3 linked regions of the Drosophila melanogaster genome follow. The protein of the gene in region 1 interacts with the protein of each later gene in a pairwise test. Each region holds a gene or a part of one and is shown in the gene's direction. Other genes may lie near its edges.

Region 1 (10,339 bases):
CTCCTTTTACCCAGTAAAACTAAACATGATTTACGTACTCTGATAAAAACGGTGACATTTATGGTACCATACACAGAGAACAACTTTTCACTTTACCGGCTGACACTTTCATTTCCATCGACAAGAGTTTGCACATTAAAGATTAACCCATTTTATGACGTACGAAACGACGCAAATTGTTTGAGGGATTTTTTTCTGTTAAGATTAAAAGTTATTTCACGAACGAGACAGACAACATTCGGCGATGAATAATGGAAACAGACTAAAATTACTGAAGTTCCCGCGAAGCTATCATAGTTCAAGTGATTTTCTTATCCGTCTAGTTATCAATATTGTCGTATTTTCCTATCCTTATCATAACAATTCAGTAGACGTAACCAATTGATAGCGCTAATCGAGTGTTAGCCAAATACATATATGGTCAACAGACGATTAGGCGGCATAAACATGTATTTCTTACTTTATCGATTTTAATATCTTATCACTATAATCAAATACCTTTAAAAAAATTTTCTAAAAATAGTTTTCTTTTGAAATCGGATTCTCAAGTATTTCATACTGCGTACTTATGCTAATTAAAAGGGAGCTCATTCTGTTAGGAATGAACTTACTAAACTAATAATAGTTCGGTAATTGAGTCAATTAGTTGTGGTTTTCAATTGTCAAAAAATTTAAATTTATTTTGGCGCCGATAAGCGATACTAATAGTGTACTAAAGTTAGTATTTAGTACTTTTGTATCGATTTTCTTATCGATAAAATTGCTAATTTAGGGCCATCCCTATTGTCAATGGTGCGTTTGTTTACATTCACAAAAGTTTCAGTTTCTGCTGTAAGTAATATATACACGTCTAGCCAGGATGTCGGACAACGATTACGAGCGTTTCGAGATAACGGACTACGATCTGGACAATGAGTTCAACATCAATCGGCCCCGAGGCCGCCAGAGCAGGCACCAACAGATCTACGGTATGTATTGAAATACATGCCGGAATTTGTTTGTAAACGAACTTTCTGTAGGTATTTGGGCGGATGACAGCGAGGAGGAGAGTGGTGGCGAGGGCGGAACTAAGAGAAGGGGGCGCGCCGCCCGTAAACCCAAAGACTACACCATGCCCGTCAATTTTGTGGCCGGCGGCATTCAGCAGGCGGGCAAAAAGAAGAAGAAGGCGCTCCAAGCCGATGATGAGAAAGGATCGCAAAAAGAGGGAGCAGAGGCTGACCAGGGCGAGGAGAGCGACGATTCCGCCGCCAGCGGACGGCCAGCCTTCGGCCAGAACGATCCGGGCAGCTCCAACAGCTCATCAGAAGAGGAGAGGCCAACGCTGAGCCGGAAACAGCCAAGCACCACATTTCAGCATCGCTCCCACATCGCCAGCGAGCGCAACGTGGGCGCCTGGGAGCAGCATACACGCGGCATTGGAGCTAAGCTACTCCTTCAAATGGGCTATGAGCCTGGCAAGGGTTTGGGCAAAGATCTGCAGGGCATTTCGCATCCTGTGCAAGCCCATGTCCGCAAGGGCAGAGGTGCTATCGGCGCCTATGGACCCGAAACTGCGGCAAGCATCGGAGGAAAGACGAACAAGAGCATCAAAGTGGATGAGGACGTGCGCGAGGCGAAAGAGTTCAAAGACCAGCTGAACAAGTGGCGAAAGGGCTCAGCCGGTGGCGCCGAACCAATGGAGCGGCAGGGTAAGCGCTACTACTACAAGTCCGTGGAGGAGGTGATTGCCAAGGGTCACACGTCCGGCCACCTACTGTCGGAGAAGCTAAGCAAGAAACTGGGCAATGTGCGGGTGATCGATATGACAGGCCCAGAGAAACGAGTGCTGAGTGGCTATCATGCCTTGGGACAGGCAAAAATTACGCCAGAGGAGACGCTCTACGACACGGAGGCGACGGAAAAGGGATCCGCTCCCGCCTGCGTTTTTGCCATGCCCGAGCTGACGCACAACCTCCAGCTCTTGGTTAGCCAGTGCGAGCAGCAGATCATCGCCATCGACAACCAGGAACGCGAGTGTTCCAGCCAGCAGGCAGCGCTGGAAAGCGAGCACCGGAAACTGGAGGAGATAGTCCAGCTAGAACGAAACCACATACGCACGCTGGAGGAATCGTTGGAGCGCGTGGAGCGGTTAATCGATAATCCAGACTTGAGTTTACCTCAGGCTGAACGACTCTTTCGGGAGCTGCTCGTGGACTACGCTGCCGAATTCCATGAGTTCGGACTTGCAGATCTGGCAGCCGGTGTAATAGCGCCGCTCCTGAAGCGAGAACTAGTTCAGTGGCAGCCACTGGAAAACCCAACGGAACCGCTGCCACTCATCAAGAAATGGCGCGGCATGCTCCAGCAAGGAGATGCAGCAGAGCAGCAGCCCCGCAACGTCTTCGATCCGTACTCCTCGCTCATCTGGGCCGGCGTGATGCCTTCGTTTCGGTCCAGCGCTGCCGCATGGCAGCCGAAGGAGCATCCGCCAATGGCTTCACTCCTAGATGCCTGGGCACCCCTGCTACCTAGCTGGGTCTTGGATTCGGTTCTCGAGCAACTGGTTCTGCCACGACTGGTGGCTGGTGTCCAGGAGTGGGATCCGCTCACCGACACCGTTCCGATCGACAGTTGGGTGCTGCCGTGGCATGCCATCTTGGGCAGCAAGCTGGAGGAGGCCGTCTATCCTCAGATCCGCAGCAAATTGGGTATAGCATTGCGCGCCTGGTCACCGCATGACCGATCAGCCAGAGCCATGCTTACGCCCTGGCAGAAGGCCTTCCCCGAGGAAGAGATGCAAGAGTTCCTGCAGCGGTACATAGTGCCCAAACTGCAGGCGACTCTAGGCGAGCTCATCATCAATCCAATGCACCAGGACCTGGAGCTGTGGCAGCAGGTATGGGAGTGGCACGAGCTCATCGATCCCATGTACATGGCCCAACTACTGGACAGACACTTCTTCCCGCGCTGGATGCAAGTGCTCGTCGTCTGGCTGAATCAGTCGCCGGACTACGCGGAGATCTCGCGATGGTACACCGGCTGGAAGAGCATGTTGAGCGAACCGCTTCTGCGCGAGCCCAGCGTTAAAGAGCATCTGCGGCGAGCACTGGAAATTATGCACAGAGCCAGCGATACCCTGCTGCAGCCCACGGTGACGCCCACGCCCCCGCCTCCAGTTCCTCCGGCTCCAGTCATAATGATGGACCTGATTCATCCGCCCGCTCAGCTGGAGTTCAAAGAGTTGGTATCGCAGCAATGCGCCGACTTGGGAATCATCTTCGCTCCTCTGCCAGGGCGACGGGAGATGGGCAAACAGGTGACTGTTAATCCATTTTCGACCACAGAGCGTTATATACTAATAGATTTATTGCATTTACAGATTTATCGTGTGGGAAAGCTGTTTTGCTACATCGATCGTCACGTCTGCATGGTCAGCGATGGCAGCTTCAGCAACTGGAAGCCGGTGTCGCTAAATCATCTGCTAGAACGCTCTCAAACGGGAATTCTTTAAATAAATAGCTGCGAAAATGTTTAATTGGCTTGGAAAATGTTTAATTGGATTGGATCAGAAGCTTAGCTCTTGCTGTTCCCTAATAAGTTTGTAATATAAGGTGATTGTATGATGAGATGGCTCTGCAGATATAAGCAAATGTCTAAATATATATGTAAAAGTAATCAGATATATTATTCTGTATAAAATTGAAACGGATTTGAATATTTTTGAAATTGATATGATTACATCCAAGTTTTTCACCACGGTTTGGGTCCGAGCTGCATGCTCCATGAATTTAAGATGTAAATATACTGGCAGTATTTTTCGGTATATATTTATTTTGTGGGAGCATGGGTTTGTAACGTGCGCGTTGAAGTAGAAGTACACTAGAAGTATCTTTAGTGTCTTTGGTTGAACCGATTAATAAATCTTTAAAGTCGAAATTTGATTGTTAATAATGTGGTTTATGACATGGATTGGCTGTGGTGCTAGAGAAGGCGGCATTATTAAATAAATTTAAACTCCTTCGCTGTGAGGCGGATTTCTGGAAATCGGTGGATAATTTTTAAAGCATTTTTCAGGATCATTATATAATTAGGCTTAGCCTATTAGCCTATAGGGACACGGTAGTTTAGATCAGCGGGACACAATTCGCAAAAAAAAAGTCCCCGAGTTCCAATTTCCACCGTTCCGCTATCGTCGCTAATTTGACGCACATTTATTATACATTATTATTATTATTATTATTATTTTCTTCTCATTTAACTTTTTTTACAAAAATATGGAAATAATGTTTGAAAAACCGGAGCGGCCCATGCAACTAATCGATATCCGCAGCCGGGCAACGATGATGGATAGATAGATAAATACATCGATAGTATCGGCTTGTCATCGGCCCGCTGCCACCTCTGGCCATCGCAGCTGACTCTAGAACGCGTCGTGGAAATAGGAATAAACTGACTGAGTTCGCGTTCGGTTCGTTTGGCGCACGCAAAGCAAGCAAGTAGTGAGCCAGATGCGGTTCGAAACGGTGCAGTCAACTGAAGCTCGCGTAGTGCAATACAATTAATTGTAAAACCAAGACACAAGCACTCCTATCGCGATAGGCACTGTTAGCAAATTGAAACCGCGTGTCTTTCGTTTCGCTTCTCCCGCTCTTTCGTTGCACTTCGCCCACACTATTCGCCAATGCAGTCGTGAGTGCGTGTGTGCGTGCGTATTCCCCCCCAAATTCAATGAATTCGACAGGCGGTGCAATAAAAGCGCAACTAAAACAAAAGTGATTCCACCACGTGCGCCACTCTCTCGCGTCTTAAGTTCAGTTGTTGTAGCTGGTTTCGTTTGTTTTGCTGGCGTCTCGCTCTAACAGCTCCCACTGCTAAATTTACCGCTCGCCGAACAACCGGCACGGAAATATCCGTTGGATTAGGAGGACTCACTAACGGGACACCCGCAAAAGGACATCAAAATGGTGCAGGTGTGTAATATATTTAATTTTAAAGCACGACTATATCAAAGAAGCTTAAATGGTTGTTCAATAATATTCCTGAACATAACATAATGAAAATATTATATCCATCTATCACTACTAAGATACAGGTGTTAAGTTTGCTAGTTATTTGCTAGTTATAATTTGTTGTATTATTCTAAATACACTAGATTCAGCTACAGTTTTTTACAGTACGGTCTTTATTTATACTAAATAATAATCAAAACCGCTTTTTATAAAATGGAATACTATCCATCAAAAATGTATATCCTTTCTTTAAACCCTAAAAATACTGCTTATGATAATCGAAACGATTATTTAACGTCAGATTTTGTGGTATATCAGCATCTTAAGCGCATTATCCTCGATTGCCAGTTTGGTATAATTTTAAGTTTTACACGAAATTAATTTTATACACTTTAATATCTTGAACACTAAATCCATGTGCTAGTATTATTTATTTGCCATCAATCTACGTAAATCTATGTTGGTTTCGAAAAAAAATTCATTTCTAGTTTCCAATTCAATGATATTCCACCCTGCCACTGACCTTTTGACGCCATCACGCACAACCCCCATAATCCCGAAACGGGACACCACAGCTCAAAATGCACTTTTTAGCGACCATCCCGAGTCGATTCGCGCCTCACCACCCAACCCAAGTCAGTCTCAACCCACCCAAAAACCCAACACAACCCCCACTTCACCCCTGGCTGCACTCTTCCTAGTCCAAATCAACCACCAAAACCGGAAAGTTTCGAAAATTATACAGCTGATATAGAAAACTGGCAAGCTTGGAGAGTTATGGGAAATATGGCAATTAGAAATGGTTGGTCGTGCTTCGATATCGACAGACGGGGTCCGCCCGTACAGGTCGCCTTCGAACGTAATGCACACAAAACGGCGCATTTAGTCAATTTTTCCTACAGCCAAGCATACCAACTGAAAAGAGAAACATCCAATGTGATGGAACCATTGGGATTGCCACTAGCTGATACCCTTCTATTTCAGTTAAACATGCACAAGTCAAAAGAAGTGTATTTTAAACTGTTATCTTGAACTATATTTCATGAATACTGTTTATCGAATATCATTAAACTAGGTTTTAGATATTATCCATAATAATAAAATAATAAAACATAAACCATTGAAAGGTTATCAAAGTATAGTATTTGCCATGCCTGCTCTTCTTCGTGATACCCTGTATTCATTCCGATGTGGAGAAACGAATCCTCTGGTTAGTCACCTGCCGCCGTTTCCCCGCGCCAAATGAGTGAAGTACCACTTTTCGATTTGAAATGCGTTTTGCGCCTGCCCCGGCCAACTGTCCACCATACCCCACCGCCCACTCATCACTGCGTCCAGCAACAGCCCAACCGCCTCCATCCACATGGTCGTCAAAGCGCTTTTTACCCATTTGCATTTGCATTTGCCGATGCCCGGGCCGAGGAGTAGGTCCTTGGTCCCTGCATGGGGTGGGCACTGCGTGGTGGGCTAGTGAACAGTGGGCAGTGGGTGGATTCATTGCGCTTTGGACTGCGTTCAATAGCCAAAGCGAACGAACATTTCTGACGTTTGACCGAACTTTGTTGTTGTTCCAGTGCTGCAGCTGCATCAGCATCAGTATCAGCAGCCTGCTCCTCCGCTCCTGTGCCTATTGGTAAACTGCTGGGCAGGATGGGAGGTAATAGGCACATTTGTGCCCCCCACACCCCAACACCCGAACACCCCTTCGCCTCACAGCGCATGGAGGCCAGTCTCTTATTTTGTAACTCCATGCGCCAACGAATGTCAAAAGCACAAAAATTTCAACGAGGATAACAGGCACGGACGCATGCTAATCAGGACAATTAAGTTAAAAGCGGCACGGATGCAGCTCCATGGACGTCTGCTTAGGAGGTTTTAACTTGAGTTCAGCCGTTATTCACCACTATTATTCTTGATTCCTATATTGGGTGATTAAACGATTAAAGAATATTTATATACACATGGATTTAATTGTTTATAAAGCATAAAAACATATCGAATCTGTTATCTCAGTCCTTTGGTGATTAATGATTGCCATCTATGGGTTTGGGTTTATGAGTTTGCCTATAGATTTCCCCACCCATCGACAACCTCTTTCATAAGGCAACTTATCGTGGCAAATGGAAAATTTTCGCAATCTATTCGATTGAAGTGGATCGAGTCCTGGCCCGATTTCGTGTAGGTTGTCGGTTATTTTATCTCATAAATGTGGAGCTGCTTTTCGCGTTTGAATAGTGAAGATTGCGATATAAGGAGGTCAAATGGGGTTCTGGACGGGGTGATCTAGTCGGGGTACACTGGTGACATCTGTTGAAGCAGTTCCGCTCGGTAGGTCGTCTAGATTCATAGATTAAGGCATTATCCTGATCCTCCTGCTCGCGATAAAAGCCCATGTTATGTTTGTTTTGGCTAAAACTCCTGCTAAAACCACTGCTTTCGGATGAACGATTATCGTATTCGGATCGCACGATCCGAAGATATGAGTCTTGATAAGGGACGTCCTGATTCTCGATTTCCACCTGGACCATTGGTTTAACGGAGCCCCTTTTGTAGCAAGCGTATAGGGTTTTGAGCCAGCGTATTACAGTCAAAAGTTCCGGCCAGGGCATCAACAGCATAAGGCAGGTCATCCCAAAGCCCCTGTGATCGGATGCAGTGAGAATCAGCAAGTAGGAGGTGCCCTTCAGCAAGCGGTGATGCAGGCGGCGAAACAGAGTGCACCGCCACAAAAAGCTGCAGCGCTGGGAGGCGGACTTCAGCAACCAGGCGCCACTGACCAGCGCCAAGGTTATCACGGTGGGCCGCTCGTTTAGCACCAGCTTGAAGTTCACCTTGAGCGTTCCGAGTCGCAGGTACCGCTCGCCATCAGATGCCATTAGGGTGGCTGCGACCGCCAACAAACCCGCCAGGTGGGCGCCCAGGGCCGCAGCTGAGCAGTAGAAGAAAAGCAGCGAATCCGCCAGGAGCGGACAGCTTAACCATAAAACGATGCCAAAGGTGAACTGGCTTACCCGCTCAAGGTCGAAACTGATCACTTCAAGCGTGAGGACGAACGGTTTGGATGTGTAGATGCCGTAACAGGAGTGCTCATACGTGGCCATCGGAACGATCCGTGGCTCGTCTGCTGCGGAATGCCCCAAGGGCTTTCCTTCGTGGCACTCATCCAGCTGGCTATGCGCATGATGAACTTCCCGCACGGTGGCTCCTTTATACTGAGTGTAATCTTCGCCAGCGGCTATCTGCAGGCGCAGGCGGTTGCTCTGGAAGACATTCCACATGGAGAACGCTGTTGGCGGCTGGCAGTAGACCTGGACCTGGTTGTTCACGTACAGCATGTTAAGCAGCGTCTGTCCTTCCTGGATGTGGGGCTCACCAGGACGCAGATACGTCGCCTGCTGCTCGTAAAATACATTATCCCAGTTCACGAACGAGGATGCTGCATAGTTTAGCCCAAGGATAACGAAAGCGAGCAGAGGAGCCCACATTGGATGTTAGTGTTTATATTAAATATGTTTGGGATCTATATGGGGTACGAGTTTCAAAGAAAATTTCCAGATTTTATGAGCAGGGCTGCTTCGATGGAAATACATCTAGGAAACATACATTTATCTTAGACTAGCATATATAGTATATCGCTTAGCTCTAGATATATTCATATCTATCGGCTAAGTTTAGGTTTTGCAACTATTTCTCAAGCTGCAGAAGCTTCATAGTATCAAGTTGGCGAAAATAGGGAATATTTGCCGACGAAAAATGTGTCTCTCTGGCATTCTAAGCTGCCTTCTCCCATTCAGATTTTTTTTCCAGGACGTTCGAATCCTTTGTGCCCCATTTTCCTTCAATTTTTCGTTGCCATTCCTTTCTACGTCGTTCGTTCCATTTCTTTGCATTTCAATAGCGACTTTTTCTACGTGGACCAGCGAAATGCGTATGGGCTGATGACTGACTTTGGACCACGCGTACTAACTACTACGAAGGACATGGGGCACAAAAACTCACTACGAGCGTGGTACTACACGCCAAACCCCCTTCTCCTCCGCCTCTTTTTTTTTGCCAAAAGTCAGGGGCAACAATGAAGGAGGAACAAAATAAAACACAGCGCTCGTTCCATCAAAGTGGAAGTCGCGGCCTGCAAAGGATATAAAAGCAAACAGAAAGCTGGACACAAATAAAAAAAAACGAGGAAAGTCGAAAAAAAGCAAGGAAAAGCCGGGAAAGGAAACTGGGGAAAGGCAGAAATCCCCGCACAAAGTGGCAACCGGAAACTAACAACAAACACTGAATGCAGGAGCAACCGAGATGGCAGATACATATATGTATGTACATCTTGGTCGGCGGAGGAGGGAGCAGGGCGGCATGCTTTTTTGCATTATGGCCAAAAATCGAACTGGAATTTCTGCAAATTTTTTCGCCCCGCTCCTTGTTGTTGCTGCCTTTGGCCTGCTCTGCTGTGTGGCTATCATTGCGTTCGTTTGCAACGCATCGGGCTTTTTTGGCCTGATGGTGGGCATTGGGCGATGGGCGGTGGTCGTGTGGGCGGGAATGGGGCTGGGAGACAGCCGGTGGCCTCATGCATTTTCCGTGTTTCGTATTGTGCGCAAAATAAATTGGTAAACAAGCGAGCAGGCCAGAAAGAGATGGGCTCGGAGAGCGAGAGGGGGAATGTCCTGGTCAATGGCAATACATACACGACATCCGGATCGTACATAGTCCCCAGTGCAGTTGTGTGCAGGTCCTCGTTTTCCGACTGCATTTCGGTGTGTGCCATACTTCCACCGGCCGCCCGCCCACTTCCACCCATTTGCTCTCTCTCTCTCTCTCGCTCTCTGGTGAATTGCACTTTGTCCCTCAGCTGCCACGACCCCCATCCCCCGTTCACGCCCCTTTTTTATATTTCTGGCCACCGAAATAGGCTGCGTCGCTGTCGCTGCCGCCATTTTCACCAGCTTCGCCGTCCACGTATCCATTCGCAACACCCTGCCACCCTCCCATTCCCACCTCCCCCAAAAAATTGCCCACCACCCCCCGAAAAGCCGACGCACCCGCCTCCAGCACTCGCGCCTCTGCCCCACGCATGTATTTCAGCCGCCGCCGTTGTTGTTTTCCCGGTCGCTGCATTGGCTGACGCTTCTCGAGCGCTGCTTTTGTGCACAGTGAGCCAGGAAACTATGCAATCAGTCAAAACAAAAATAGCACTCGAACTGAATTACTCCCCAGAGTTTTCAGTGTGTATAATTGCAGGGTATTCACGCATAAAAACTGTATGAAATGTATAAAGCACAATGTTTAAGGATCTCTTTTATATCATTAGAATCGTTAATTAGGTCATATCATATCATTCGTATTCA
Region 2 (8,514 bases), on another chromosome or scaffold:
AAACAAGAAACTCCAGCCACACCGATAAAAAGAAGAGTCTTATTAGAAGCGAAAGAAAGGTAAAACAATAAAGGAGAAGCGAATAATATCTGGCAGAGAAAACGCGCAAAATATGCAAAAGAAGAGCAGCTGTAATTACCTGTCGGTTAATCACTTGTTTGTTTCGTTCCCTTCTGTTTGTTTAAGTGCACTTGTGATCTGATCTATATTTAAACCGATTGACACACACGCGATACAGATCCTCGCGTTTGGGATTTCTCACCAGATCTGCGTTCAGATCTTAGTTTCAGCTTTTCTTGCCACTGGCGATTTCCAATTGGGCTTCAATTAATTAACATTTTTCGGCGCAATTAACCCATACACTTGCAGAAAAACTGCGACGAAAGCAGTTAGTTATTTTCGTAGCTGTGTTGCTGCTATTGTATTGTTGTTGTATCACTCACACTCATGCACACACATATGCGCGCTGGTCAGGTAGGTTACGTATGTGTGTGCGTGTGTTTGTTAGGCACTTTGAACTGAATGCTGGTAAGAATTGTAAAAACCACTTGTTGCACTGTTTTAAAGGCACTCGTCCAATTGGAGAGTGGCGCACGTGAATTTGCGATTCCTGCCGGTTGGCGGGCAACTGAAACGCACTCGCTGGCAGGTAAAAAAACAGACAATTGCCACGGTTTTCGGAGCGGAGCGATGCGATACGATATGATGATGACAGCGCCAACGCGAACACACGAACACCAGCGCAGCGAAAAACACCAACGAATCGAATTTGGATGGCGGGCGGCGAAGCGAAGGCGGTGGCTGGTGTGGCCAGTGCACGGCCGAGGCGGGAATACCACTGAGCGGCAACGTTGGTATTTTATTAGCCGGGTGGCAACGTCTCGCGGCGCGACTGTTAAGCAGTGTGACCGTTTCGTTTCGCTTCGATTCGAAATTGGATTTCGAAATCATTTTGAAAGATTGTATAGATTCCTTAGAACTGTTTATGGTAGTTCAGTAATTATTAATTCAGCTTTAATCACACGAACCTCTTCCATTAAAGAGTCAAAATCCCGCCATAAGCCTATCTCTTGAACCTTAGTAAAACTCGAACTCCACTGCGTTCAAGGCATTGCTATCTTATATTATTTTTATACATCCTTCAAAATCTCTATGAACCAAACACGCATCTGTTTTGCGGTTATTTAAATAAGGCCGAGTGCTAAAGCACTGCTAGAATGGCTGAATAGCTATTCAGTAGAACTCAAAACAATACCCGAGCTGCCTGTGTTTGCACACTTGCTTAGAATAAACTAGATCTAACAAATCCACAATTCCCCCATTGTTGACTTGTTCAAACAAATGTATTTTCGATAGTCATCGGCCAAATTGTCTCAAGAATATCCTACTAAGCCACGTGCGGCAAATGATGATGATTCGGAGCAAACACACAGTCTGAAAATGAACCAAAAAAATCGTGGGTGATGCGTATAAATACCCTAATTAAATGCAGAGAAAGTACAGTACTTGAGTACAGTGTTCAACGGACGGAGCTAAAGATGCGATTCCAATTCGTCCTGGCCTTTGGTCTTATTGCCATCTTGGCGACCGCTTATGCTGGTGGCGATACCACAGGCACCGGCAGCACGGGCACCGATACTACGGGGACCGGGAGCACGGGCACCGGGAGCACGGGCACCGGTAGCACCGGGAGCACGGGCACCGGTAGCACGGGCACTGGCAGCACCGGGAGCACGGGCACCGGTAGCACGGGCACTGGCAGCACCGGAAGCACGGGTACAGGCAGCACCGGAAGTACGGCCACTGGCAGCACCGGAAGTACGGGATCAACCACCTCTGGCAGCCCCAGCACCTCAACTGGCTCATCCTCGACTAATCCGTCTCCTTCCACAACCTCGCCCTCCACATCGCCCACCACGTCCACCTCCCCGAGCGACTCCTCATCCTCCGGCTCCAGCAGTAGCTCTTCGTCATCCAAGCGGAACCGCAAGGAGAGGCGTCGTCGCTACCGACGTCGTCAGAGACGCCAGGAGAGACGCCGTGAGAGGAGGGAGCGCCAGCGCCAGCAGCGCCGTCGGGGCTGAAATGGGAATCCCAACTCACATGACATTGTAACTCAATGCAAATAAAATTGTTACATGAAAAACCAATATAAACCCTAGATATAAATGTGAATGCAATTTTGTGTTGCATACCTTAAGACACCATAAGAGAAATGTTTTCAGTCCTCCACAGAATCACAGCATGTACCAGCAAGCTTTCTTAGCTCGCATAGCTTTCTCACTCCATTTGGTTCTATCTGAACTAGTGACTCGGCTTCATACTATCGTAGTAACGAATTTCCTAAAGTACAGAACGCCCGGAAAGTATGCAGAACATATATGAGACCTTGTTTCGAAATAAACTCACGAGGCTTTAGAACTAAAGATAATTAATTCCACGAAGTGTTTACGATTCAGTCCAAAAAAATTCGAAACGAGCACAAGATAGCTTTCGTTACAATCTGAAAGATATTTTATCGGATCACAGTACTATTAGAATCATACAAAATATATCAACAGATCGTCAGTCCATAAGCTGCTAAATAGGAAAGTCCGTGAGAGCCTCAAAGTCCTTGGACCCAACGCTACCTGGTCATCTCACGGCTTCTGCTGGATTCACTGCCTCTAGGCGAAGTGGGCGTGGATCAGCCGGTTGGGTTGACGTACCTGAAGGTGATGCTCTGGCTAGAAAGCCAGGGACAAATGACAAATCTCCAATTAGTTAGCAACTAAGCAAAACGGTTTTTTTTGGATTGGCTGGCTGAACGTATTGTTAGCATGTGTGCAAACACAGTACATTGTTTATTAAATAGATGAATATGTATTGTTAAGCCTTTTGAACAGAAAGCCATATTTAAATAACCTCTAAGCTTAAATATAGATTAAGATGGCATATTGTACATAAAGAATGAATTCTCACTAAAAGAAAACTTAGAACAAACTCCTATTTTTCACTTTCATTTGCAAGTTCCTAATCGATTAAGTTATCATCTGGAATTATGTCTGCACTTAGACCAGTTCCACTTGATCAACTAACTAGATCGGAAAATGATTTACTTAGGATTCTTCATTAGAGTATATAGTGTAGCCTTCTTCTTCTTTTCCAAGATGAAACCGAATATTGAATTTCTTTGTTTGACTAACAATTCGATCCAAATGATTTCACTTGTTTTTAAGGTGCCAAGTTACCAAGTCATAACTACGATTGTTGCTTTTGTGTATGCATTTATTTTTCAATTTGGACCATTTCATTGTTCGATCGGGTTAAGCCGATGGTTTATCCCCTACGTTGGCGCCTTCTTCCAGCACGACTCTGCTGGCGCCTTTCCTGCTGCCTCTCCCGGCGAATCTCCTGGCGCCTCTCCTGACGCCTCAGCCGCCGGAGCCTGCGAAGCCTGCGCCTCAGCCTGTCCACCTCCTCGCTGTCGGAGCTCGTGGAGGAGGAGGACGTGTCGCTGGACGTGGAGGGGGCCGTGGTTGTGGCAGTCGTCGATGAGGTGGAGGAAGTGGGCGAAGTGGAAGAAGAGCTGCTAGGAGTGGAGGACGAAGTAGACGTAGTGCTATTGCTGGACGGAGTTGAGGTGGAGGACGAAGAGCTGGGTGTCGAACTTGAGCTGGAAGTCGATGGAGTCGATGAATTGGAAGTGGGTGATGTGGAAGAGGACGAGTCGCTCGAGGATGAGTCGGTGCCACCATAAACGGTCGCCACGAGGACAACCAAACCAAAGGCCAGGACGAATTCGGGTCTCATCTTAAGCTCTGTCTGTTGAACACTGTACTCAAGTACTATACAGCATCCAGATCTGTGTCTGCTATTTATACGATCTATCTGGAGGGGTTTGGTCCAAAATCTCAATCCGTGGGTGGTTTACATCTTAGCATCTGGCACGTGGCCCAGTGTTTTGCTGAAAACGTCTGGAAAGCTGGAAAGGTTATTGTTGGGAAGTTAAACATTGAAGCAGTTGTTGATTTTCTGAAACAATCTACGGCACAGGCACTAGACAAATATAGTTTTTGACTAAGAAGTGACTAAGCAAAAATAGGTAATTGGACTATTCTGAATAAAATAACTAAATACAATAGGAACAATCAGTTCGTAAGATAAGGAAGGGTAAAGTGGCCATTCTACCCAGAATCCTTCAAGTTGGCTTTCCTAAAATGAATACTACAATGCAAGCAGAGTCACTTCGTGTTCTCTTTTAAGCAGCATATTATTATTCAAAGAAAGATTTAATCATCAATAAATGTGATAGAGCACTTAATATTTGCTTAATATTAAATGTTCTTATATTAAACATCCTCTAAGTTAAGCACTTTCTTCTTGAGCCGTATTGGCACATCCACTAAAAATAACACTGCGCAAATAGAAGCTCCATTGCTGTTGTAGATTCGACAAACATAGGAACTTTCCACACCTTGTTCAACAAAACACTGCCGCAAATGCCACATGTTAAGATCAAACTAAGACGACGCACAGATTGAGATTTTGGACCAAACCCCTCCAGATAGATCGTATAAATAGCAGACACAGATCTGGATGCTGTATAGTACTTGAGTACAGTGTTCAACAGACAGAGCTTAAGATGAGACCCGAATTCGTCCTGGCCTTTGGTTTGGTTGTCCTCGTGGCGACCGTTTATGGTGGCACCGACTCATCCTCGAGCGACTCGTCCTCTTCCACATCACCCACTTCCAATTCATCGACTCCATCGACTTCCAGCTCAAGTTCGACACCCAGCTCTTCGTCCTCCACCTCAACTCCGTCCAGCAATAGCACTACGTCTACTTCGTCCTCCACTCCTAGCAGCTCTTCTTCCACTTCGCCCACTTCCTCCACCTCATCGACGACTGCCACAACCACGGCCCCCTCCACGTCCAGCGACACGTCCTCCTCCTCCACGAGCTCCGACAGCGAGGAGGTGGACAGGCTGAGGCGCAGGCTTCGCAGGCTCCGGCGGCTGAGGCGTCAGGAGAGGCGCCAGGAGATTCGCCGGGAGAGGCAGCAGGAAAGGCGCCAGCAGAGTCGTGCTGGAAGAAGGCGCCAACGTAGGGGATAAACCATCGGCTTAACCCGATCGAACAATGAAATGGTCCAAATTGAAAAATAAATGCATACACAAAAGCAACAATCGTAGTTATGACTTGGTAACTTGGCACCTTAAAAACAAGTGAAATCATTTGGATCGAATTGTTAGTCAAACAAAGAAATTCAATATTCGGTTTCATCTTGGAAAAGAAGAAGAAGGCTACACTATATACTCTAATGAAGAATCCTAAGTAAATCATTTTCCGATCTAGTTAGTTGATCAAGTGGAACTGGTCTAAGTGCAGACATAATTCCAGATGATAACTTAATCGATTAGGAACTTGCAAATGAAAGTGAAAAATAGGAGTTTGTTCTAAGTTTTCTTTTAGTGAGAATTCATTCTTTATGTACAATATGCCATCTTAATCTTTATTTAAGCTTAGAGGTTATTTAAATATGGCTTTCTGTTCAAAAGGCTTAACAATACATATTCATCTATTTAATAAACAATGTACCGTGTTTGCACACATGCTAACAATACGTTCAGCCAGCCAATCCAAAAAAAAACCGTTTTGTTTAATTACTAACGAATTAGAACTTTCCACAGCCATCAACAGCTTTCGCGCTTACAGAGAAGATAGTCTCGTCTTTTTATTGAGTTTAATCTATTTGTCTTGACGAGAACGTAAAATGTACTCTAAAACATTCAAAGCAAACACAGATTCGACAATTAAAGCGAATCAAGTGGATCATCCCTATAAATACTCGGATTTAAACCACTATCCACACAGTACTCCATTTAGTGACAAACTGAGCTGAAGATGCGTTGCCAATTCGTTATCGCCTTTGGGCTTTTGGCCCTAATAGCAACTGCCTACGCCGATTCTCCACCTGCGGCAGGATCCCCACCCGCGTCATCTCCACCGGCTGGAACCCCAACCTCGCCACCTCCAGCGACTGGAACACCGCCCTCACCATCCCCAGCGACTGGAACACCACCTTCAGCATCCCCAGCTGCTGGTACACCGACCTCGCCAACTCCAGCGACTGGAACACCGTCCTCGCCAGCTACTCCTGATGCGCCCGCTTCCTCGACATCACCAGCTACGCCCACATCGCCCAGTGACAGTGGATCCAGCAGCAGCCAGGAAGTGATTAGGCTCAGGCGTCGGCTGCGCCGGCTGAGGCGTCAGCTCCGCCGCGAGAGGCGTCAGGCCAACCAGAGTAATCAGAATGGAGGTGGTGGTCAGGGGCGAGTGGTTCGCCGTGTACACCGTCACCGTCGTCTATTGTAAAATTCACGAACATGTTGGCTACGAATTTGAAATAAAATTCCAGACAGAAATGCAATAAATCTAAAAAAAACATAAATGTATTGAATGGCTTTTTAAATTAGAGGAACCATCGCTCTTTTTGTAATGCATACATTAGTAAACTAACTTATATTTGCCCAACAAACTTTCTAAACATTGCAATGAATATTTCGAATAGAAGCGTTCTAAACATTGAAATAAATATTCTGATTAGGAAGTTCGTTGCACATATTTAATTCAAAATGACCGCGAAACGGTGCTGCCAGATGTCTGAATTTCGTGCACTGCGGAGCGGATCTTCTTTCTACTAAGGCAGGAAGGGTCATACTAACACCTCCACTTCTCACCAAAACAAAGGTTACCCCGAAATTTAATCAAAATAAATCGAAATGCCGGTGGATTGGTTCGGATATGTGTACGCAGCCACGGTCGCCGCCGGAGGAATCATGGGATACGCCAAGGCGGGTAAGTGACCAGCCCCCTGACCGTGGTCATGTCCGATTGTGCAACGCCCTGCATTCCAGGTTCCATTCCCTCGCTGGGTGCTGGTCTGGCCTTCGGAGCCCTGCTCGGCTATGGCGCCCACCTCAACTCCCAGGACACGCCTCGTCCCCTGCTCCAGTTGGGCACCTCCCTGTTCCTGGCCGGGCTGATGGGCGCCCGCTGGAACCGATCCGGAAAACTGATGCCCGCCGGAATGGTGTGCATGCTATCCGTGGCCGCCTTGGTCAAGAACCTGGCCACCTATAATCGCTACCTAATGCCCGCCGGCACAAAGGCCCCTTAGGCTAATTTCCGGCCACATGCTGGACTTGCCAGGAGATTGCCCTACCTTCATTCTTCATTCGTATTGAATAGGTTTTCTACTTTTCGGTGATTGGAACTTTGGTAATGCGCTGTGTCACTTTCTAAGATAGTGATTAGGAACTGTACTTGCTGCAAATATATTTTATCACCTATGCTTTTAACTTGTGGACTTCTTTGTACTCAATTGTAATACTTGGTCACATTTAATAGCATACTTTCAGGCACTTTGGTATGACAGTTCGCATAGAAGCACAGAAATACACCATTTCGTACATTCAAATCTTTTTTTGTATATTTATTGTTTAACTTAGCTTTTGTTTCTTTTGTGTGTGTGATAAATTTACAGTTTCATCTATTATACGATGTTCAGTTAACTACAACTAAAACTTAGCTATTACATTTTGTTGCTGCATGAAAAGAGCATTAGGCTAGGTAAACGTAGAGTGATGGATTTTTTTTTTTTTTTAGAATTTAGGCTTCTAACAAGTTTATTACAATAATGAAGTGAATAATTTGAGTTTTCTGCAGGCAAAGTGCGGCAAGGTAAGTATATTATCGATTCTCCACCTTTCTAGCATTTTCCCAACAGGAAACGATAAATATTTGTTAAGTAGAGTGTACAAATTATATATGTTTATCACATTGGAAAGTGGGATTATTATTAAATTTCCTTTCGATTGATTTGTGGCTCAAGAAATAATTTAGGTTGTCTGCCGAAAGTGCGTGCATGTGTAGATGAAGTTTTTACAGAATTATATGTACTATTTTACAAAATTGTTTGCATTTTGCATTAAATTAGATTACATAATATATGCGTGTACTGAACATAACAACATTGCTGGCTGCTGCGTTGCCCTCAGCAAACAGGCAATCATTTAAATTAGAATTAGCTGCGGCTAGAACTAACAACAAATCAATAGGGTTTCGTACAGAGTATAATAGTAATAAATTCTAGCTAAAAACACTTTAAGCTGCAAACACTTCTTCCAATTTCGATGGCAGTGACGTCTGCGTGCCAGTTCCAAACGTTCCCCCAATGCGGCTGCATTTTCACACTTTCACTAGAACGGAAACAGCTTCCAGTTAACCACTGCGGATGCCGGATGCGGAATGCGGTAACGAAACGGAAGCGAGGAAGAAAGAGAGAAAAACGCAGGAAATTAGTGATTGTGGTAGCATACAATTCTCGTGGGGCGTGCAAAAACAATGAGCTAATTTGGGAAGTTTTATTTCGTATGCATTAGATAAATATATATTTTTTGCAGACGCCGGCCATTTTGAATTGTGTGGGTGGTTGTGGTTGTGTGGTATGTGCGTGTGTTCCATT
Region 3 (13,259 bases), on another chromosome or scaffold:
CCACCAGCTGCTTTCTTTTGCACGCACACTCACTCGCCTCTCACATGCACACTGTCTTTTCGTCTGTGCCCAATGTGGCAACCTGCGGCCACTCTCTCTTCTTTGACTTGCCGAAATCTGGCAACACTCGACAAGAGTACTAACCTTATCGGCCAAACTGAAGTTTTAACTCTGAGCCCACGCGATCGAGTGACTGACTATAGCATTTTGCGGTAGCCCCTATTTATTCAAAATATCTCTCTCTCGCGTCGGCAAGTGAGAAAAAGAAAGACAGAAAGAGAGAGAGAGAGAGTGTGTGCGTGGGAGAAAGACCACTGCTTTTTTTTGAGGGGAGATTTTTTGATAAGGCCTGAGATTTGGATTTTTGAAGGCCCCAGAAATACCGCCTAAGATTTGAACATGCATTTGAAATACCGGTTTGTACATCGACCGCAGGTTACCGTTAGAAATGTTATGCGGGATACATAGTTAAGTTGCATACCCTTTGAGTTACAATCACTAGTTAATAATATCTACGTTATTACCAACACGCACACTTTATCGTAATACCTCCTTGAAGTTTAATTTATACATCAACTTTATCAGTCAAAACTTTGATTTCGTCTGACACTTTTTTCGATTACGATCCGTCGCCAATAATTGCGATAAATCTTATCAAGTCTTTTTGGGATTGGCGCTCAAATTTACAATATGGCCGTACATCCTACTTATGTATGTTTTTTAACTAATTAATCACCACAATGCAAAGTACTCTTTCTTTGTTGAGCCCATATGCACTCACATTTGCACCATGAATCATGTCAGTAGCTCGTTTCATGTAACAATTTCTACTTTGCCAGATTACGATGCGTTCGGAACAGGCAGATAAGAATTCGGCCCATCCAAGAAAGGCCTTGACAGTTCTACCCCAAAATAGAGATATCCTCGTGATATTAGAAGGAACCCAACAATATGCTCGTTCTTATCTTCTTATAGAAATTTGTGAATTCCCGTATCCAATGAAATCATTTTACTTAGTAAAATGATTTGTTAGGCCTTAAAAAAAAACAAAAACACCCGAACTATCAGTACCACAATTTAAGAGAGAACTCGTTATTATTTAACTTTATTAATTATGTATTTCTTTATCAAAAGAGCAGACTTTTTGTTTGTGACTGTCTTCAACATTAGATCCGTCTTTAACATTAGATCAGATCACCTGACACGGGAAACTCTCGTAGACTTTATACAATTCAAAAAAACCAAAATCGTTACTTGACACAAATATCATAACTAATGCATAAAATATGAAATGAGAGATATCTAAAATAGCTTGGCATATTTTCTTGGTAAAATAAATGTGTTAAATACAAAGAATGTAAAATGCAATAAATGATACATATATCAAAAATGGAATACCACGGTTACTTTAAGTGCTAGCATAACAAATTACAATAATAATTCAATATCTAGCCATTCGTTGCACATAATTTGGAGGGTTAAGAGGGTAAACAATGGATGGGAAATGGGCTGGGTTAGTTGCGAATTGGTTTATATGGTTTATAATCCAACATCAGTATTATCGTTTTCGTTAGTATGTAAATACAATTTGATTTTGTTCTATCGTGAATTTCAATTGGAAGCTTTTATGAGTTCTGTCCCACCACCTGCACGTAGTTGGCTGGAAAGAGTCCGTAGCGGTTCTTGCACAATCCCCTCCACCACCCATCGTCGATCTTCTCGATGTGGGTGATCACGTCATCTGGATCAAAGGATATCTCGTCGTCATCCGCCGCCTGGTAGTCGTACAGGGCAATGGCGTGGATTCCGGTGTCCTCCAGATAGTCGGCCAAATTGTCTGAGTTCGCGTAGATTGCCTCCTCGGGAACGGTTGCGGTGCCACTCGGAGCAACAGCCTCTGAAACGGTTCCATTCGTTGGTGGCAAGGGCGAGGCAGCCTTAATCTCGGCCTGGTTCTGGTACAGTGGCTCTTCTTCAACTACTGGCTCAGGATCGGCTTGAGGTTGCGGCTCAGGTTGGACTTGGACTTGGGCGTGGACTTCGGGTTGAGGCGTCGGCACATACACTGGTGATTGCGGCTCACTTCTGGGAGGCGTGTCCACGGTCTCAACCTCAATTTGGGGCACCACATCTGGTGGTGGAGCTGCAGCCTTGGCCACTGGAGCTGTTTCCGGCTCTCGAGCGGGGACCACTGTCGGAGTAGGAGCAACCGCAGCTGATGTTGTACTTGCCGTTGGCTCCTCCTTTGCTTCTAATTCTATTTTAACAGGCTGCGCCTTGGGAATGATAATGGGTTCCTTTCGTGCTGGAGGGGTTTCAGAAACAGGCGACTGCATCTGGTTAAATGCACTGATAGCATTGCCAATGCCACCGGTCCGACCTGTCTGGATGGCCGCCCTGCTGCCCTTTGGAGGCGGTGCTTCCGTCGAGGTACGAGGAGTGTTCTCGGCCACAGTCTTCTTGGCGGCTTCCTCCCGATCCCGCTTGTCCTTGGCCTCACGGAGACGTTTCTGTTCCTCGGCCCGCTTACGTGACTCCTCCTCGGAGTTTTTAGCCAGATTCTCGAACTTGGCACGCAAATTGGAAGGCTTGGCACCTTCGATGACTGGCTTGACCTTGTGGTCCACCTGGCTGGCGTGCTTCTGCGGAGCCTCTTTGTGGTCCCATCCCACCGCGGACTTGTCCTTTCGGTCCTCCTGAACGCCAAACTTGCCGCCAAAGCCCTTGGAGTAATCTTATGTTGGGAGAAGATATAAATAAAATAATCAGACATGAACATACTAAGAAAAAATCAATGAGAAATTCATTTCCGTTAGGTAACTTACCCTTCTGAGACTCGTGCTTCTCCACCTTCTCGATGTGATCCCAGCCCACGGCGGATTTATCCACCCGATCGGACTGCACTCCAAATTTGCCTCCGAAGCCGGTGGCGTAATCCTTCTGGGAGGCGTGCTTCTCGACCTTTTCGACGTGGTCCCAGCCCACGGCAGACTTGTCCTTGCGATCCTCTTGCACTCCGAACTTTCCCCCAAAACCATCGCTGTAGTCCTTCTGCGAGGCGTGCTTTCCCACCTTGCCCTGGTAGTCATGACCCACAGCCGACTTGTCCATGCGGTCCTTCTCAACGCCAAACTTGCCCCCGTATCCGTATCCTGCGTTCTGATCCTTCAGCAGCTGCTTCTTCTTGTCCAGATCGGCCTGCTCCGTCTCCTCGCGCAGCTTGTCCATGCTAAAAAGAATAAAGAAAGGGAACAATGAACCCGATACCCAGTGTTTCGAGAATTTCGGATGACTCACTCGATGGTGCCTGCTGTGCGACCGCTGCCGTCGATCGTCTTTGATCCCCAGCGCTGCTCCTGCTCACTGACATCGTTCACGAAGTCCGGATCCGTCTCCCAGTCGTCGTCCTCCGCGGAGGCTGCACTGGTGGCCTGAATCTGGTGACCGGCACTTGCCTTCCACATTCTTTTTACCGGTTTCTGGTCGCTGGTTACTCGCTTATCCTTATCTGCTGGGTAGATAGATAAACACCATGACGAGTGTGAGTAGTCGGGGCAGGTTTTCAGTTGCAGGGGCTCCGCTTCCGATTCGTGGCCCAGATAACAAGTCACAAAACACCGAAGAAGGGAGGGGCCGACAAAGCCGGATCGGGAACAAGATGCCACTGGCGCTCTATGTTCATATGTATACTCACATCCCGATGACTAACTCCTACTGCAAGAGGAACTTATGATCTGATGCCGCTAGGGATGTCTGCAAATTTCTGGGAGGAGAAGGGTTAAACAATTGATTCATAAAGAGACCAACAAACGGGAAACTAACTGAACTAAATTTCATTCGATACAATGGATGCATCGATATGCTACGAAAAGCCGATAAATTATTGTGATGAGCTTGACAAAAGGTAGTTGCTGCAGTTTTAGGGGCGCCCAATTTAAATGATTAAGAGATACAGTCGTGGTTCTTTTACTTTATTCGATAAGTCAATGCACCGATATATACTGCAGTACCAATATATGTGATCGTGATCAATAGAACTGAGTGCTCGGGCAAAAGGTATTTGATGTTATACCAAGTGGCGCCATAGTAATTTGTATAATTAATAAGATTCTGCCAGAACGGTAATTAACAGGTATAAGAGTTGACTTTTTTCATATAACCGCAAACATATCATCGATATATCGATAGTTTTGGATTTGAATTTGCTTCGATGTCGGCTGACAATTAACGTAATTGGTTTTTATATATAGTTATAAAAATACAAATAAAAATAGTTATAAAACGGCTTAGGAAGGAACAGGATATTTATTTAACTGTATTGCCCTAACGGCTGAATATTGAAGTCAAAGGTTACATTTTGAAATTCAATGCGTAATCAGATCTTATTTTCCCAATGTCGTCATTATCACAACGGAAATATCATGAATGTCTCAACAGCTTCCAATGCCGATGATTCATCCATCTCGGAACACTTTAGATTCTACGGTGTATACTATGACGACGCAGAAGATACCAGCTTCCAGTTAGGCGCTACCACCGAATATTTCCTAGCAACAACAACCTATCGCCGGTTGGTTCATCTCTAATCGACTTCCAGCGAGAGAGCGCGAGTATAAAAGCCAAAGACGGAGCGCAAACAGCTATGGTATTTATTCACATCGCTTGCAGTTCGCATCGTCTGACTTGTACGTTGAAAATCGAATATCATTGGTAAATCAAAAGGAATTTGTAGATAAAACTCATTGTTTACTCTCGCTGTGCCAGAAATCGCAAAAAATCAAGCGGAAAATCAGTCGGAAAAGTGAGAAAAGAAAGTGTGTGCTAAACACTCAAAGATAATTTTCATTTGTGCCATTCCAAAATGGGCATTTTGTAGAATTCTAGTTGTGGGTGCGGTATCGCGAGAATTCTCCAGAATCTTGTTTCTCTATTTACTTTATATTTCAATAATAAAAGCCTCGGGTGGGAGAAAAATTCAAAACCGAAAGATGACATCATCAAACTCAAAAGCAAAAGCCCCACTCTTTTGGCGTTTTCTCTCGCGACGCGTGTGACTTTTCTCATCTCCGACGAAATCTAAGTAAACTTTTCTGTTCCTTTCTTGCTTTCCCATTTTACGTAGGAATGAGAAGCGGAATTTTTCGAAATATCTCTATCCCCCAGTGCCCTGCTTAATTTAGTAATTCAATCAACTTCAATTGCCCGACAGGCACTTCAAACTACAGTAAGCACTGTGTATGAGCGCCTGTGCCTTGCTCAGCATTACTCACCGGAATCGGATGTGGCCACATTCCACCGTCCACAAAATATAGTAGTAGTGTACTCGAGGCCGTGCAATTATAGTAGAATAGGTGTGTCATCAAGGTTTATTACTAAGTGAATTGCTCAGTGCATTTGCAAAACATTTTTGAAACATTTCGAGGTACAGTCCATCGAGGTCTCCAAAAGAAGTTGGCAAAAGCTTTTGTTTATGGAGTTTTTCACACATGGTCACGAGCTATTCCAGTTTTTACACCTATATTATAATATCTCTTTTTTAAAGTCGTGCTCAGAGCTTAAAATTGACGTCACAAATCTGGTGAATCACTGAGTGCTGTAATTTCAATGTATCATCAGTCTATTTCAAGAACAACATTACCAGATACGCTATGCTAAAGCATATCTATCAATCTTGTTTTTTCCAGACCCCAACCACTTTTTATAATGAAACAAAAGAATTGTAATTAAGGGTGTTTTCAAACACAAATGTGTTTTCTACATTGAGGTCAAACTATTACGGAGAACTCCAATCAATATTTAGAGAGTCTAACCAATTATTATTGATTACATTATTCTCAACTTGCATTATAATTTATTTAAAAAGAAATCATATATTAACTAAAGTAGTCTATAAACACTAGAATCTTGAGTTTAATTGTACGCCATACGTAAAAGAACCGGTTTCAACGTTGGCCAAAACATTTTGTTTGTTTATAGCTCGACTGCAGAGGCGTTTGTAGTTGTATCTTTTTGTTAACTTTTTTGTTTTTTTGGATGGCGTCGCCACGTCAAGTCTTTTATAATGCTTTTTTCGGCTGCCTTTTGTTGACTTTCTACTTTGGCGGCAGCATAGAAAGGCAAACATGTATTTTCAGCACTGTCGCACTGTGATTACTAATTTGGGGAAGCTATCAAAAATCTCAATCCATTTATCATTAGGTAATTTGGCCCTATTGATTTTAGGGATTATGTGGACTAGTCCCTCGAGATAGTGTTCCACTTGACAACTGAAGTGGAGTGGTAGATCTAGAACGCAAACGGGTGACGAGTCAGACATTTCCCTGAAGCTTTCTCTTGGCCACAACCAAGCCGTGCCCGATGTTTTCCAAGCCAGAACGCAATGAGCTCATCCGTTTATGAGGCCACTTCGTGTGGGTTTGGTCTGGCCTATCACGAAACTGCCGCGCCATGCCATTTGGCTATCAGACGCACCCGGTTCCAAGGTTCGTTCCTCCGCAAACTGCGTACTGAAAAGTGGAAACTTTCACTTTTCCCCGGCAGTACGTTGAACTTCGATTTGGGCACCGGTCGGCAAGGAAAACTAAAAAAAAAAACATCTCGGTAAATAAACTAGGAAAAAAAATCAATGGGTAAAAATGCTCTCAGACCAGCGCCAGGCTGGCTACGGGGCGTATGCGTAATGTGAGGCTTTTACGAGTTGATGATGTCACCAGGCAGGAATTAACCGAAGGCCGGGCTTATTGGGTCTGGGAAACATAACGTATCCAACATTGCTGGGGGTTCAGTTTTCATCACGATTTCGGCGTAGCCATTATTCATTATGATTTCTCACTTCCTACTTACAGATTTTTCACAACAAACCAATCAAAATGAGTTCCGCTGAGTACTACCCATTCAAGGTGAGTTTACAATGGATTGTACTTTATGAGTCTGGTATAAATCAATTATTTCATGCGATTAGCGCCGTTAATGTAAAAAATCAGATCAAATTAGATTCAACAGATAGATGAGAATATCTTAATATTATTTTTTCTAAAACGTGTGTTGTTGTCAAGTAAGCAAGATTTTTCTCGATGCAATCTATAAATTATTACAACGACCAGATGCTACGAAATTATCTATAATTGGGCTATTAAATTATCATCAGAGGTGTATACTAGACAATCGTTGACAAACAAGTACCGATTGGTGGGAGAAGAGAGTGATAAGAGGGTTTCAGTTATGAGTTCCTTAGATAAGAGTCACAACGAAAAAAAAAGTCAATTTAGAAAGCTAACTTTATTGCAGAGGAATTCATGCAATACTGAGATAATACATGTAGGGAATAACCACATATGTATTTGTATTTAGAACAAGTGCCACTGAGTAGTGTTGAGTCATTTCTTTGGGATTACGTGCCCTGCATTAAAATACACCCAATTCTTCTTTGTTGTTACTCATTTGCTGATTGCCTATATTCGATTTGCAGTGCACACCCACTGTCTACCCGGCGGATCCCTTCGATCCCGTCGAGGATGCGGCTATTCTGCGCAAGGCGATGAAAGGCTTCGGCACCGACGAGAAGGCCATCATCGAGATCCTGGCCAGGCGTGGCATCGTCCAGCGTTTGGAGATCGCTGAGGCGTTCAAGACCTCGTACGGCAAGGACCTGATCTCGGACCTCAAGTCCGAACTGGGCGGCAAATTCGAGGATGTTATCCTGGCTCTGATGACGCCGCTGCCCCAGTTCTATGCCCAGGAGCTGCACGACGCCATCTCGGGACTGGGAACCGACGAGGAGGCCATCATCGAGATCCTCTGCACGCTGTCCAACTACGGCATCAAGACCATTGCCCAGTTCTACGAGCAGAGCTTCGGCAAGTCCCTAGAGTCCGACCTGAAGGGCGACACCAGTGGCCACTTCAAGCGGCTGTGTGTCTCGCTCGTCCAGGGCAACCGGGATGAGAACCAGGGCGTGGACGAGGCCGCGGCCATCGCCGATGCCCAGGCTCTGCACGACGCCGGCGAGGGACAGTGGGGCACAGATGAGTCCACCTTCAACTCGATCCTGATCACCCGCTCCTACCAGCAGCTGCGCCAGATCTTCCTCGAATACGAGAATCTGTCGGGCAACGACATCGAGAAGGCCATCAAGCGGGAGTTTAGCGGCTCCGTGGAGAAGGGTTTCCTGGCCATCGGTACGTTCTTATAGCATCCTATTCTTTAGGGTCCCTTCTAACTGATGCATTGCTCTGCAGTCAAGTGCTGCAAGTCCAAGATCGACTACTTTTCGGAGCGCCTGCACGACTCAATGGCCGGCATGGGCACCAAGGACAAGACGCTGATCCGCATCATTGTCAGCCGGTCGGAGATCGATCTGGGTGACATCAAGGAGGCATTCCAGAACAAGTACGGCAAGAGCTTGGAGTCCTGGATCAAGGTAAATACCGATTTCAATTACATTCATATCTGCGTGTGCTTGCCAGAACTTTCGATTCTGCACCCTGTTCAATGTGCCACTAACTCGCATTCGATTGCACCTGCAACAAATCCCATTAATTGTGGCTCCATCAAAGTTTAATAATCGTTCATCCAAGCTGGCTTCTCCTGTTGTTGTTACTGCTCCTTTGCCCAACACTTTCTTGCCGATTTCTGAAGCCATTATCCCTTCCCGCCCGATTGCTTCATTTGTGTGCATAAAACATTAAAACTTGGCATATTCTATATTTTTAGGGCGATACATCCGGCGATTATAAGCGTGCCCTATTGGCTATTGTTGGCTTCTAAAAAGAACCCCATCCAACAATAATTTATCTCTTTCGTCTGTTCCACGCTCTAAACTATATGCAAACAGAATGTACAAACAAAATTCCGATATCAAATAGTTGACAATGTATAGTTTTTGAATTGGAACACGTTTTAACGAAGACGCAGTGCATTTAAGTCGTAGAATCAGAACCCCAGTCTCGCATCCTGTTGATTATTATAACCATTGTGACTTTTATTATTATGACTATGCACGCCACATGCACATAATTGTATCTCTATAATTACTACACCTCAGGCTACTTGCATTGCTGTGTAGGTATACTTTCAGTTTTGTTTTGAGTCTCATTTGCAAGATATTTTAACTTTTAAAAAATACGAAAATAAAAAATACGAAAAAATGAAATACAAAATTCAAATCGAGTTTCTGTTACCTTTAGCAGAGGTCTCTGCACTGCTTGTCATGTAAATAACAGCGCTACATTGGGTCGCCTAACATCAAAACATTAAACATTAAAAAGGGCGTGGATTAAACCAACTTAAAAATCGATTTAAATGGGGCTAAATGAGTATATTAGCCCTCTTTAATTGTCTATATAAACTAGATCAGCAAGTGTATAAGGTATACAAACTGTTAAATATAGTTCAATTTAGATCTAAATATACTTGCACTGCTTGCTAAAAGTACATGTCAATTACATGTAAATATAATGTACATACAATTTCAAGATGTAAAACTTTAAATGTTATGTTAAATTTGAAAGACATTCATTTGCTGATCAGGTAGATATATAGTTGATTACCCCTTGGAGGAGTAGCTTCCGGCAATTAACCAAACCATAAGCCATGTATACAAAGTAAAAGGCGTTTAATGCTCTGACCCTCTGCTCTTTTCACGCTTTTCTCTACCCGTTTAAACGAACCAACAACAGGAGGATGCCGAGACCGATATTGGATACGTCCTGGTCACTCTTACGGCTTGGTAGACGGAAGCAGCCGGAATATCCGAATATCTATGAGCAATACCCCACTGTTCAAGTAGAAAATGCCAAAAACAAAAAAACGTTGCATTTCCCCAAAAAAAAGTATAACAAAAGCGAAGAACAAATGGAGTTGGTCTATATACAGTAGTTGTGATGTGTTCTAAAAATCCAATCTACAAAACGCTTAGTATTTTCCCTCTGTGCAATAACGTCTAACGTTCAACGATTATTTAACATTTTTACGTATTTTTATTTTGTATACATGTCTTTTTTTATTGTAAATTATGGCGCATCAAAGTCGTATGCGTAGTTTGTGCTTGTATTAACTAATAAAGTTGGCTTACACTCAACGGCAAAGCTGGGTCACATTCACCATCCACTGATCTCCTTTCCAGGACGACCTCTCCGGAGACTACAGCTACGTCTTGCAGTGCCTGGCCTCCTACTAAGGATTTCCTCGTTGGATCGATTGTTAACCATTCTATTTGTTGTAACTCTTACTTTAAGGCAAGCATCGTTTGCCAACTGTTTTGCGGAAGATTCATAGCCTATGTTCAATTCATAAATGCACTGTAAAATCGCGGTAAATAATTGGAAGATTTTTTCACTTATCTAGGGTAACCGAAACCAAGGGGGAATGGGTATTGGGGAATATTCGTTAAGGGGGAATGCTGTTTGGGTTTTCTACTTGGCAACTCGATCCTGGTAGGCTGCCCACAGGCGGTCGCGGTACGTCTGAGCCGCCTGCTTCGGGCTGCTGGCCTTCAGAATGCCCCTGCCCACCACTCCGATGTCGGCACCCCGCTCCTTGACCACATGCTCCGGACTCTGGTACTGCTGGCCCAATTGGTCCACGCCCTCGTCTATCTTCACACCGGGCGTCAGTTGCAGAAGTCCGGGGAAGGCAAAGGCATCGGAGGATTGGCATACCACACCGGCAACGAAATCTACATCGGCTCCCTCGGTTGCGATCTTGTTGCTGTTCTCCTTGTACTTGGCGTCGATCAGGTTGCCGCTGGCAGACATCTCCGCCAGCAGGAAGACGCCGCGTTCCTTGCCGGCTCCTCCTTCGCCAAGGCCCGCCTTCAGACCCTGCAGAATACTACGTCCAGGTAAGGTGTGGGCCGTGACCAGATCTGCCCAACTGGAAATCTTATAGATGCCCTTGCCGTACTGCAGGGACACCGTGTTGCCGATGTCTGCAAACTTGCGATCCTCCATCAGCAGGAAATTGTGCCGCTGGGCCAGAGCTTGCAGGTCAGCGATGAATTTATCACTGAAATCCTCCACAATGTCTACGTGCGTCTTCAGCAGGCAAATGTACGGACCGCACTTGTCGGCCACGTCCAGGATCTCATCGGCGTGTGTCAGGTCGGCGGCCAAGCAGAGGTTCGTCTGTTTGCTGGCTATCAGGTTGAAGAGGCGCTTGGCCACCGCGCTCTTAGCCAGATTGGCGCGATTCTCGTAGGTCAGTTTAGTGCGCTGCAAGTCGTTGGCTGCGGGGAAAGTGATGGTGATTAGTTAACACTTCAATTTTGAAACGTGCACGTAGACCTATCTTATCGCCTCTTCTTATCGCTATATGGTTGTTTTGTACCTATGCCAATTTTCTTCAATAGCTTCACACTTTGGCGATCCCAAAGTACATAACTCTTTTCAACTGGGAATCAATTTTGGCTATTGTTTATACAGTATCTTAAGAGTATATACAAAAGTTACTCCCCAAAGGCAAAGACGATGATTATGATGAGATTAGAATACTGTGACTTTACAGGTGGAAACAAAAAGCAAACCGGTTCCCATACATCTCATCAAAGCGCCATAAACGAAATGTGATTATTTATAGAAGATGGGCTTGATTGAAGGAGCAGGCTGGCTCTCGAGTGGGCTGATAAGCGTGGTGGCATAATTGAGTGCGGACCGGACACTGCCCTGAATCAGAATCACGTGCCGCATTCCCGGGAATGATCCGGTCCGATAGTGGAATCCAGATCGGCCTACCGCCGTTTATGGCGGTTGTATAACTTTATAGTAGCGCGACTGGAGCGCTCCCTAATTGAATTTGTTCGAGGCCATGTGCTGGCCGAGTGTCATGTACTTATTATCTATCTATGCATCTATCTATCTGGCAGATATCACGGGGATCTGGAGCATACGCACCTCTGACAACGTCGCCCTTATCGCCGCCGACGAAGGTACCATCGCTGTTGATTTGCACGGCGGCGATGTACTTGGCCACCGCCTCCACTGTGGACTTCTCGATGCGCCCGGCCTCGTGAAGTGTGTTCAGCAGAAAGGAGAGCGTGAAGAGCGAGTGCATCCGCACGCCGTGCTTGGCGATGTTGGCCACTCCGCCCTGCTCACGGTCTACGACGACCACGGCGTCGGTGACCACAATGCCCTCGCCTTGCAGATCCCGCACCGTGTCCAGGATGCTGGAGCCGGAGGTGACCACGTCCTCGACAATCAGACAGGTGTCGCCAGCATTGAAGATGCCCTCGACCAGCTTCTTGGTGCCGTACGCCTTGGCCTCCTTGCGCCGCACCAGCATGGGAGTTCCCTGCTGCACGGACACAATGGTGGCCAGCGGGAGCGCCGTGTAGGGAACACCGCACACGTGTTTGGCGCTCAGCTGCTTGTCCTTGATGTGTTCCACCAGCAGGTCGGATACGGTTTGCTGCGGGAAGACCAAGTTAGCTACTGCCATTGACATGGAGCACTAATCCCAAATACTGACCATCACATCCGGATAACTGACGATCACTCGGAGGTCGAAGTAGACCGGCGAATTTATGCCCACTTTCATCTTGAAGTCGCCGAACTTGAAGGCATTGATCTCGAAGAGCTTCAGGGCCAGGGCCCGCATTTTGTCGGAGTTCTGGGCAACCATGCTGGCAATTCTAAATCTCGATCTTAATTCTTCACACACGTGCTAGCTAGGCTCCAATAAGAACCGTCCAATTGGGAGTCTACGCTTTTTAAACATGCTGCCAGTGTGCACGTATCTGCTGTGACATTGGGGCACATTTCGAACACCCTAATTAAGGTACAAGTTCTGGTTGCGCCGCCTGGGTGGTTAACTTCGCTATGCCGCCAAACTTATCGAAGTTCAAATTATTATAAATGTCGTAGATTTTATCAACATTGGCTTCGAATTAATAAACGTTTATTATTAGTTATAGGGTAACAAAGTAGCATAAGTGTTAAGGTTTTGAAATAAACTATTTTGCATGTGAAATATTTCCCAAATTCATAAAATATATAACCTTTAGTTTCTGAGAAGTCTTAAGAAATTTCAAGGAAATGAATGGATGGATTATATACAATATTTTGTCCGCTGCATTGCTGTATTGTTCACTACTTAGCATTTGTAATCTGAAAGCTTTGGCTCCGCCCACAAACCCTTGACTGCAACTTCAAGGGGAGGAGTCTAGTCATTTTGCAACCACCAATGACAGTCCTGTAAGCTCATATTGCAAAATGAAAGCCAAAGCGCCTGCGTAAGTCAACAAAGTTTGCGCCATTCATTGA

Evidence for each region.
Region 2: the proteins of CG11030 (region 1) and CG12491 interact in a two-hybrid assay, tested with the Drosophila melanogaster proteins (one large-scale study listed by BioGRID).
Region 3: the proteins of CG11030 (region 1) and AnxB9 interact in a two-hybrid assay, tested with the Drosophila melanogaster proteins (one large-scale study listed by BioGRID).

What each region holds. Positions count from the first base shown.
Region 1 is NT_033779.5:5,720,277-5,730,615, forward strand, and holds the start of CG11030 (uncharacterized protein), read left to right. Parts: upstream 1-4,379; 5' UTR 4,380-4,943; coding exon 4,944-4,952; intron 4,953-6,138; exon of another isoform or gene 6,139-7,186; coding exon of another isoform or gene 7,187-8,476; exon of another isoform or gene 8,477-8,535; intron 8,536-10,339. Other genes in the region: sip1 (septin interacting protein 1), read left to right, coding at 860-968, 1,020-3,298, 3,362-3,493; CG14006 (uncharacterized protein), read right to left, coding at 7,187-8,476.
Region 2 is NT_033778.4:23,746,061-23,754,574, forward strand, and holds CG12491 (uncharacterized protein), read left to right. Parts: upstream 1-4,585; 5' UTR 4,586-4,624; coding exon 4,625-5,098; 3' UTR 5,099-5,165; downstream 5,166-8,514. Other genes in the region: CG13560 (uncharacterized protein), read left to right, coding at 1,539-2,084; CG34105 (uncharacterized protein), read right to left, coding at 3,319-3,792; CG11300 (uncharacterized protein), read left to right, coding at 5,889-6,362; CG5532 (uncharacterized protein), read left to right, coding at 6,770-6,845, 6,905-7,167.
Region 3 is NT_033777.3:21,060,601-21,073,859, forward strand, and holds AnxB9 (annexin B9), read left to right. Parts: upstream 1-4,640; 5' UTR 4,641-4,801; intron 4,802-5,282; exon of another isoform or gene 5,283-5,351; intron 5,352-6,845; 5' UTR 6,846-6,869; coding exon 6,870-6,899; intron 6,900-7,468; coding exon 7,469-8,177; intron 8,178-8,237; coding exon 8,238-8,419; intron 8,420-8,712; coding exon of another isoform or gene 8,713-8,766; exon of another isoform or gene 8,767-9,154; intron 9,155-9,677; coding exon of another isoform or gene 9,678-9,731; exon of another isoform or gene 9,732-9,939; intron 9,940-9,956; exon of another isoform or gene 9,957-10,123; coding exon 10,124-10,177; 3' UTR 10,178-10,317; downstream 10,318-13,259. Other genes in the region: cortactin, read right to left, coding at 1,626-2,734, 2,826-3,229, 3,298-3,464; r-l (rudimentary-like), read right to left, coding at 10,413-11,224, 11,889-12,405, 12,466-12,618.